Linked DNA regions of Arabidopsis thaliana. The protein of the gene in region 1 interacts with the protein of each later gene in a pairwise test. Each region holds a gene or a part of one and is shown on either strand. Other genes may lie near its edges.

The links.
Region 2: the proteins of CLE2 (region 1) and AT1G01910 interact in a two-hybrid assay, tested with the Arabidopsis thaliana proteins (one large-scale study listed by BioGRID).

What each region holds. Positions count from the first base shown.
Region 1 is NC_003075.7:10,209,216-10,213,172, forward strand, and holds CLE2 (CLAVATA3/ESR-related 2), read left to right. Parts: upstream 1-2,361; 5' UTR 2,362-2,876; coding exon 2,877-3,104; 3' UTR 3,105-3,237; downstream 3,238-3,957. Other genes in the region: AT4G18500 (uncharacterized protein), read right to left, coding at 1-84, 148-196; AT4G18501 (uncharacterized protein), read left to right, coding at 96-425.
Region 2 is NC_003070.9:312,022-318,018, reverse strand, and holds AT1G01910 (P-loop containing nucleoside triphosphate hydrolases superfamily protein), read left to right. Parts: upstream 1-1,928; 5' UTR 1,929-2,187; coding exon 2,188-2,442; intron 2,443-3,003; coding exon 3,004-3,128; intron 3,129-3,216; coding exon 3,217-3,367; intron 3,368-3,467; coding exon 3,468-3,578; exon of another isoform or gene 3,579-3,793; coding exon 3,794-3,932; intron 3,933-4,023; coding exon 4,024-4,139; coding exon of another isoform or gene 4,140-4,147; intron 4,148-4,259; coding exon 4,260-4,424; 3' UTR 4,425-4,865; downstream 4,866-5,997. Other genes in the region: AT1G01920 (SET domain-containing protein), read right to left, coding at 1-40, 174-254, 377-458, 563-725, 826-852, 929-1,011, 1,122-1,227, 1,306-1,480 and 2 more; SBTI1.1 (subtilase family protein), read right to left, coding at 5,008-5,997. UniProt on the Arabidopsis thaliana protein: ATPase required for the post-translational delivery of tail-anchored (TA) proteins to the endoplasmic reticulum. Recognizes and selectively binds the transmembrane domain of TA proteins in the cytosol.

The sequences.
Region 1 (3,957 bases):
TATACATCTTCTCAGTTCCTCCTTCCATCCTCAAATCCATACATCTCTCCCTCTCTCTCTCTCTCTCTTTCTCCCTTTCTCTATCTACTCCATCAATGGCGGTTCTAGATTCAAAGCCTCAAGAAAACAACAAAGAGAATGTCTCACCCTCAGAGATGGTCACGATTGCTGTCAAATCTCTGGATTCCTCATCCATTGATAAAGGCAAAACCCAAATCAGAATAAGAAGAAAAAAATCTAGGAAGCCTCTTCAAGACATCACCAACCTCTTTGTCTCGTCATCACCATTGTCCTCTTCGTTTCTGATCCGTCACATTCCCTCTTCTTCATCTCTATCACTTGATCCCAAATGCATGAAGAGAAGATCTTGTGTTTCCCTCAAGCCTGCTACTTCTTCAACCTTCTCTTGTAGAAATTTCAGATGATTTTTATATTTTGGAAAATGTTGTTTCCATTTTCGAATTTTGTATCCCTTTTAATTTTATTTTAATTATGGGTATATATCAATACCTTGCCATTAGCATTCATATACCACACAAGATTTATTTCTATGAGTATACTGGTTTCTCAATAGTTCTGATTCTTGCCGATTATTTGTTCAACGTTGGTATCATTATTATATCTCTGATTTCAACGAATGGGTCTGAATATTATATACAGTTTTTAACTATAAATTTGAGATGAAAATAAAGTTAGTGATTGCAATGACAATCCAGCTACAGAAATTGTCTTTAGGATCAAGGCCTGTCCAATAATAGTGATGGTCCGAATTGAAAATATAAAATTTGGACCATTTTATCTTTCTTTCAGATAATATTAACTCTAAACACACACAAAACCCTCTTGATTATTTTCGACAACTCCTAATAACTTAAAAAAAAATAAAAAAAAATCAAGTTTATCCTTTTAACAAGTGATAGTCAAATAACAAGTTTATCTAGAAATGGGATTTATATCGAAAGTCATACTGATGCAAAACAGAGAAGACCGCAATAAAGAGAGTGGCATTTGACACATAGAGGATAAGAGCATTTTCTTCAATCTCCAGAACAATTAATTCTTTCCCAAACTTATGGTATCTGATCTCATATAATTGTTCACAGAAATAAAAAAAACACTGAATATCACTTTTTATATAAAAAAAAGTATATTCCTTTTATATGTCACCACTAAAATGCACCGTCAAAATAAACGTAACATATATATGTATTCACTGATGTGTTGCATGCATAGTTTTTTGGATAAACAAATTTGCTGACACCATTTACAATGAAATACGGATTTGGATAAGTACTGCTTCATCAGTTAAAACATAATTACAGAGTAAGAAGTGTGATTGGGTCGAAACTTATCCTTTTAAATATATCACTTAACCTCGACTTAGTGGAATCTTAAACTACACTACTATCCACACGTTCTGACAAAAGGTATTACAGATTATAATACCTTTTCTCGATGGTTGAAACTTTTTTGAATATTCTTCTTGTAATGAAATCTCCTGATGAGTCAAATGTGTAAATAGAAAAAGAGTGAAAACCTTCGACTCACCAATACTAAACCAATACAAAACCCATAAGTGCACTCTGCCTTTGACTTCATATTTTCATATTTCCTTTTCTATCTTATTGGACTTTCATGAATCACCCTCCTCGTCCATTATCATTACCTCGTATTATTAACTCTCTCACACGACACACGTATTATAATATTAGTCTATGCGCATACATATACTAATATATAATGTCACTGGATAGGGACGGTCGAGTTATAAATGGTGTAAGGTTTGGTATTGAATAATTTTGCTTTATCGACATTACGACATATATAATTATGTGATTATAATTAGCACTTGAAGCCGTCTCTTATCTCGCTCTTTTTGACGGTCCAATGTAAATACGTATATAAGATTCATATCTTTTTTAGTTTTGATGATGTACTAACGTAAAACGATCGTATATGAATGGATAGAACTTTATCCTTCTTGTTTCGGGGATAAATGGATAGAACAATCCATATTTCAGGGATAAATCTTATTTACTTTTGATCGTGTAAATACTTGTTTCGAGATTAGTTGCTTTTTATTTCGTAATCGTGGTGACCTAACAAATCACCGAGTTTTTTAAATGGATGATTGCATGCATGGCTCAATAAGGGTTTGACAATTACTAACACACGGTGACAAAAGATCTTCTTTCAAAAAAGATTCGATTGGGAACTTTTCTATGTTCAAAATGATATAATCTCAGATAAAATATTCAATTTACTCTATAGATTTACACTGGAAAATGCATAATAATCACTGCAATATATTCACTAAGTTTTTTTTTGGGGGGGGGGGGGGGGATTAGCATAAGATCCATCCAAGAGACAAGGCCACCTAACAAATCAACGACAAATGTTTAAAAATGGAATGCACATGAGTCTAAAAAAGGGCTTGGCCAATCCTAGGCCCTAACACAATTCAGAATATCTATATATTAAGATGTCGATCGTATTAAATATGTGTAGTACACCGTAATGCGGCGATCTTTATCATTCTTTGTACTATTCAAAGTACCAATTTGCATTTTGCAAGTCGCAAGAGTCACTTGCTCAGCTGGTTACAGATTAAATATGATTATTATAGAAGTTTTGGTGATGAAGAAAAATGTAGGCAACGAGAAAAACCGTCCTTGGTGACAACTCATGCTTGCACTCAAGCCTTAAGCTAGCTAAACCTATCTCGCGCACTACTAGAATTCAAATAAAACTCTATAAATAGAAACCCTCATGAGATCTCTTCTTTCCTCATATACACTCATACACACCACGTGAACAATCTATCTCTCTTTCTATTGCTTTTCTATATATACAGAAACTAATTAATTGTATCTGTAATGGCTAAGTTAAGCTTCACTTTCTGCTTCTTGTTGTTTCTTCTGTTATCCTCAATCGCCGCTGGAAGCCGCCCTCTTGAGGGGGCTCGGGTCGGGGTGAAGGTGAGAGGCCTAAGCCCTTCTATCGAGGCTACGAGTCCGACTGTAGAGGATGATCAAGCTGCGGGTAGCCATGGGAAATCTCCAGAGCGGTTAAGCCCAGGAGGACCCGACCCACAACATCACTAGTTATTTTGTGTTTTTCAATTTCTTCGACATGTTTATTACTTATCAATAATTTGGTTGCAACGAAGCTGTTTTTCTTTTTTGTAATAAATTTGCGAATTTACGTTTGTCATAATACTACAAAATTAGTTACAGTTTTATTGATACGTTATCGTACGTTAACTAAATATTCTAAATTTGGTGATTTTACGTTTCAGATTGTATCATTATTATTCACCTTTTACTTTTGATTATTATTTTGAATTTTTACTATACATATAGGCTATAGCAACGCGGTACGTATGACGACGTTGATTTAGATGGTCTTGCATGTACGTACACATGATTCTGTTTTACGATACATCGTGTTTTATATGCCGATTGTGACTTGTATGTTTTAAACAAACAAATATGTATAATTTCGTGTGTCTTCTTAACGGACAAAACAGTAGAATGGAACGTACAATTTAGATGTGGTCGATCTAGATACATGGTCAATTGCATACATATATAAGATTTCGTCCCATAATTACTTGTGTTTTAAATTGATCGTTATCCCGTATGACTTATTCAGTTATTTGGTCGTCGAAACCATGTTACTTCGTTTTTTTTTTTTTTTTTAGGTAAAGCATTGTAAAATATTGATATCTATGAATCGATGCAGTTTACGGTTTACATATTTAATCAAACTGTGTAAACTTGAAATTTTCAAAATTCAACATGTCTATGTTGATTATATGTATGCCTACTTAACTTAAAGCGTTTGCTCCATCGATTTTTATAAGAAAGAGTTGCAAAATAATCTATCAGAAATCTTTAACTAAATATGCTTTTACAGTAAACCAAACACCTAATAGTACTACGATCGTCCCATGGA
Region 2 (5,997 bases), on another chromosome or scaffold:
CTGATCGAGATCTCCTTCTTTGGGATAGGACGTTGAGCAACTGCTTTACAGAATTGTAGCACTTAGTTTTCCGCATACAGATCAAAAAGAAGAGAGGAAAAAGAATGTTCTGTATTGTTTGATTGAAAAATTGTAGAAAGCTGAGAGGTAACACAAACAAATATTTGGCCAACCAGAGAGAAGGTACATGGAGAAAGGAACCCTAGATACTGATCCGATCCCATCAACTTCCCAAGTCGCCACAGGCTTCAAATCTATACTGCCATAACCATAGGTCATTATATCACATCACACTGGGATATACTCATTAACCATATCAACATTATGGAACGGAGAAACTGATAATAGAGTCTTTTTGAAACAAAGATTGGCATACCATGGTTGCAAAAGTCAATGCCAGGAACAAGCCCCTCAACCCATATTGTATCTCCGGATCCTACAGATGGCGCAGGTTGAGCCTGAATTTCTACCCATCAGAAAATGAAGAAACCCATGAAATTGTCGTTACATGATAGAATAATAATAATTAAAAAAGAGGCATTTCACACAGAATTCAGCAGACCGACGTTAATGACTTGCCTTTTTCCTCATTAGAATTAACTGGAGCCGTTTCAGGGGACTCACTTGTTGATGTGCATTCCCCGGTATCATCTTGGCTTTGTGGAAACACGAAAGAATGTGGAAGAGGAATATTCAAGGCGCGACTCCAGAATACAGAGTTTGCCCTGGCATAATTGAAAAAAGTCGCAAGATCACTAAGCAGCCCTTTACAAGACACAAAAGTCTGGTTCTACTAACAAGGAATAACACCAGTACCAAACATACCAGAGGAAGTGTTCAAAGGAGACCTTGCTGCACGAAGAGAGAAAACAAAATATGATTATCAATGAACAATAATTTGGTCTAAAAGTAGTGTAAATATGTCAACCTTTCGGAATCGCCATCCAAAATAAGAAGCTTTGTCACCAGGACCTCCACCTTGTCATGGTAAAGCGAGAGCAACTTCTTCTTCTGAGAATGAATACACGATGGTTATTGGGTTTAATAAATGAAAAGAGAAAATGTGGTTGCTATTTTAAGGACGATATGATAAGACAGGAATAAATGATCAAGATTGAGACCTGTAACTCGGTTGCGTGATACAAGTTAGTCCCTTTTAGCTCAAGGATGTCATCATCAGAAAACCAAAGAGGATTGCCAAATCGAGTAGGAAGCATATCAAGATACCTATCATATCATTTCTAGACAGATGAATACCCTTAAGCTTACGTAAATGTGTGCTAAGAGATTAAAAAAAAAACTTACGGCTTCCAAGAAGAATTGATACGAAGACGCTCCAAAGTGAGGAACAGAATCATGAGAAAGCGGTCATCAACTTGTCCTTGTTCGAACATTTTCTGACACTCAGGGCCCAGGAGAGGGTCCTGAAGAACTCTCATAGGGGTAATGGCCAGATCAAGCGGAACAACAAGCAAAACTTCTGAAAATTTCCAGAGCTGAATCAGAATTCAATATCAACTTTCCATACATATTCCCCGGAAAAAAACCCAGCAAGAAATGGTAAGAACAATACTATACCATCGGAAGCTTGAGTGGAGGTGGAAGCGAATATGCCAAATCCTTTTAGGGAGTCAGAATATTTGATGTTGCAGCCTCTTAATTCACCTCCATTCACCTGAATGAAATTAGATCGAAACACAAAATGCCATGATATAGAGCAGCAGATCAGGACTGAAAAACAACACTTAATCCGGATCTAACCTGAAGCCAATCTAGGAACCTTTCGAGTTTGGCTTCTTCTTCTGAAATCGCCATATCCTCCGGCGAAGATCAATATGCCGGCGACGGGTTTAACCGAGTAGAGAGGGGTTTTCAATCGTAACTCACAATACGCTGTCGTAATGGCTTCATCTATGTGGGCTTTTGTATGGGCTTATTTAGCGTTTATGAACTTAAACACACCAAATTTAAATTTTTAACAAAAAAAGAAAAATTGAACAAGTGAAAAACGATAACCAAAAAAATCAAACCAAGACTGCTGTGATATCCCAAAACCGAGAACCAAAATATTGAACCGGGCGGCGTTAAAAGTCTCTCGCCGCAGTTAAACTCTTCCGTACGCCAAATATCTAACAAGGAGCTCTTTAGATTGAGACTAGTGGAAGAGAGACGAGCAAGGAATTAGCAATGGCGGCGGATTTGCCGGAGGCGACAGTACAGAACATTCTGGACCAAGAGTCTCTTAAATGGGTTTTCGTCGGAGGTAAAGGAGGTGTTGGGAAGACGACATGCAGTTCAATTCTCGCAATTTGTCTCGCCAGTGTTCGATCCTCCGTTCTCATCATCTCCACCGATCCTGCTCACAATCTTAGTGATGCCTTTCAGCAACGCTTCACTAAATCTCCCACTTTGGTTCAAGGTTTCTCTAATCTCTTTGCCATGGTAAGCTTTCTCCGATTTTGTTCTAGATCGTGCTAGATTTTAGAGGGAATTTGGTAGTTTCGCTCCTGGATTTTAATCTCATTGGGAATTAGGGTTCTCTGATTCACGAATTTCAAACCGCAGATTGATGGATCAATTTTGATTTTGAAGTCAGATTTAGTACTTGCATAAATACGGTTGATTTGTGCCTTTCTTATCATATGCCCACTCTGATTTTGGGGATTAGGTTTGGAATTTGGACGCCAATTTGTATTCTTGATACGGAAGGGGATTGTGAAGAAGATTTGATGTCCCCAAATCAAATCGAATTTTTGTCTATTGTAGTTAAAATTCATGGCTAGTTATGCCAAATTCAAAAAAAAAAAAAAAAGTTGTTTTTTGTGGTTCTGGGTCGCCTCTAATAGACAGGCTTGATGATGACTTTATGGCTACTCTTCTAAGCTTGAAGCTCTTAGTTGTGTCTGTGTGTATATGTATATATATACACATACTATAAGCAAATGGTTACGATTCACACTCCTTCCCTCTTGATAGTGAGTGAATCTTGTTTGCTTTTCTCAGGAGGTAGATCCTACCGTTGAAACTGATGACATGGCTGGTACAGACGGGATGGATGGTTTATTCTCTGATTTGGCAAATGCGATTCCTGGAATCGATGAGGCTATGAGTTTTGCTGAGATGTTGAAGTAAATAGCCATTTAGTTCTTCTAGTAATCATCTGCCTTTATCCATGTATTATCACAGTCAAATTTTGATATGTTTATGTTTCCTTAGGTTGGTGCAAACAATGGATTATGCTACTATTGTGTTTGACACTGCTCCTACTGGACATACTCTCCGCCTGTTACAGTTTCCGGCCACACTAGAAAAGGGACTTTCGAAGTTGATGTCATTGAAGAGTAGATTTGGTGGCTTGATGACTCAGGCATGTCTTTAAGCTTGTCAAATTCAGTTTGCTTGGCAACAGATATTGCTCTTTGGTTTCTTCTTTGGCTGATTTTTCATGGAACTGATTGGTAATGCAGATGAGCCGTATGTTTGGCATGGAGGATGAGTTCGGAGAGGATGCTTTGCTGGGAAGACTTGAGGGCTTGAAAGATGTGATTGAGCAAGTAAATCGGCAATTCAAAGACCCGGTAACATTTTTTCAATTGTTTAAGTTCTTTGCTATTTTCAGTACTCATTGACTGTTTTCTTAACTCTGTTCGTGAAGTTTAGTTTTAGATTCTTCACATTGTTCTGTAGCATACGGTTTGACAGCATTCATTTGCATTAGTGAAAATTCTGATACATATCTAACAAACTCTGCATTTTAAGATAAGAAATTGACACATTTGGCTCCATTACGTAGGATATGACTACGTTCGTTTGTGTCTGCATCCCCGAGTTCTTGTCTCTCTATGAAACAGAGAGACTTGTTCAGGAACTCGCCAAGTTTGAGATTGACACGCATAACATTATCATCAACCAAGTACTATACGACGACGAAGGTGCCTATTTATTTGCTGTCGTGTCTATCTTCTCGTTTTGAACTTGTTTTACATACAAATTTGACGAATTATCTACACTTGTCTTCTGTAGATGTGGAGTCCAAGTTGCTCAGAGCAAGGATGCGGATGCAACAGAAGTATCTTGATCAGTTTTATATGCTATACGATGACTTTAATATCACAAAGCTTCCTCTGCTTCCGGAAGAGGTAAGAACGCATGACATTCAATATAGATGAGAAGGAACATGATCAAGACGAAAATGAAACTAAAGCCTTATATAATATACATCCTGAGATTTACACTTGTTGTGGATGTTTGGATCACAGGTGACAGGGGTTGAAGCCTTAAAGGCGTTTTCACATAAGTTCTTGACGCCGTACCATCCTACCACTAGCAGGAGCAATGTAGAGGAGCTGGAGAGGAAAGTACACACATTGCGTTTGCAGTTAAAAACAGCTGAAGAAGAACTCGAACGGGTCAAGAGTGGCTAAAGATAAGGCTCTGTTCTTCCCTTTAATTGTAAGTTTCTTTCCTCGCCATATTCTTGGAACTCACTTGCTTTCTACATGGGGGTCTTCTGGATCTGCGTTGTCATTTGGGTTTATTGTTGTTTATGTTTTGAACAATTTATAGGTGGAAAATTAAAACTGAATCTTTTTCTCTCTAGTTCTTCATCTAGCAACAACTCTTTATAGGACAGGAAAGAAGATCAAGCAGAATCTTCTTTTGCGTTGTTTTATTGTTATGCATTGGATTTGTTTTTATATTTGTAATAATCATGACTACATAGACTCATATCTACCAAGAAATCGTTGTTTTACGACTTAATCAGCTTTTTATATATTAAGTTGAAGGGTATCTGTGACAAGCGAATGCTATGATCTCTTGTAACAGCTTTTTATATACTGTAGACTGGTCTTGCAACAGAGAAGGAAAATTCATGTAAAAAAATTATAGTAAATAAGAGATGTTTTGATTTATTGACAAATTCTTACAAGTTTAGGGTAAGCTTTTGTTCAATAAGTTTCTTTGGTATATAATAAATATGAAAATGGCAATCAATAGATGCGAAATTTATTCCCACGTCACGGCGATTGGGCTTCTGACGTTGTATTTGTCACATATCCAAACCAAAACTCCAAAGGAAGACGAAGACGAATTTCTCGAAGCTTCTGCATCATACGTCACCGTATAACTCAACCTCTCTCTGGCCTTCTGGAACTTGAGCACCTTTGGTTCAACTCTCACCTTCACACCTTTTGGTTCCTCAACGTGCACCATATACTCACAAGTCGGTGACCCAACGTTAGTCACAGTCCTCTTATATCTCACCGTTTTCAAATTCGCGCCATTAACGAGGTTGACCGCGAACGAGGGATAGTTCAAATCACCGGGACTCAAAACGACGGCGTTACTAGCACACGTGTAGTTAGTGCCGGAGAACAAGAGTATTCTCTCACTCGTGTAGTTCAAGCTGCACAAGTAGTTGAGATAATCGACGGTGGAGGTATCGTATACCAGCCCGGGATCTACCGCTCGCGTGGGATCCACGTTTCCCGCTCCAAACGCAAACGCTGTGGCCGCCGATTCAGCTCCCGCGGCGCCTCTATCTCCGATCGGTCGGTTCCTATTGTCAGTGATCCTCGCCGTCGTCATGATTGCTGATTTGATCATCGCCGGTGACCAGTCCCCGTGAACGGACTTGATTAGAGCGGCGATTCCGCTGATGTGAGGACAAGCCATGGAGGTTCCCGAGATGATATTGAATTGGACGCGTCTTGGATCGGATCTGAGGAGGCTAGGGCTGCTGAACGGTGACCATCCGGCGAGGATGTTCAGACCGGGAGCCGCAATGTCCGGTTTAGCTATTTCCGGTCCCGCGACGCTAGGTCCTCTGGATGAGAACGCGGCTACCATCGGGGCGGTTGCACCATACGCGGTTCCTCTGAATCGAACGGAGGCGGTGGCGTTTGCTGCTCCGGCGAGGTAATTCAGTAAGGTTTTACCGTCGGAAAATCCAAGTGAAACGGCCGGTAAAACGTGAGGATCAGCAAGAAGCTCCTC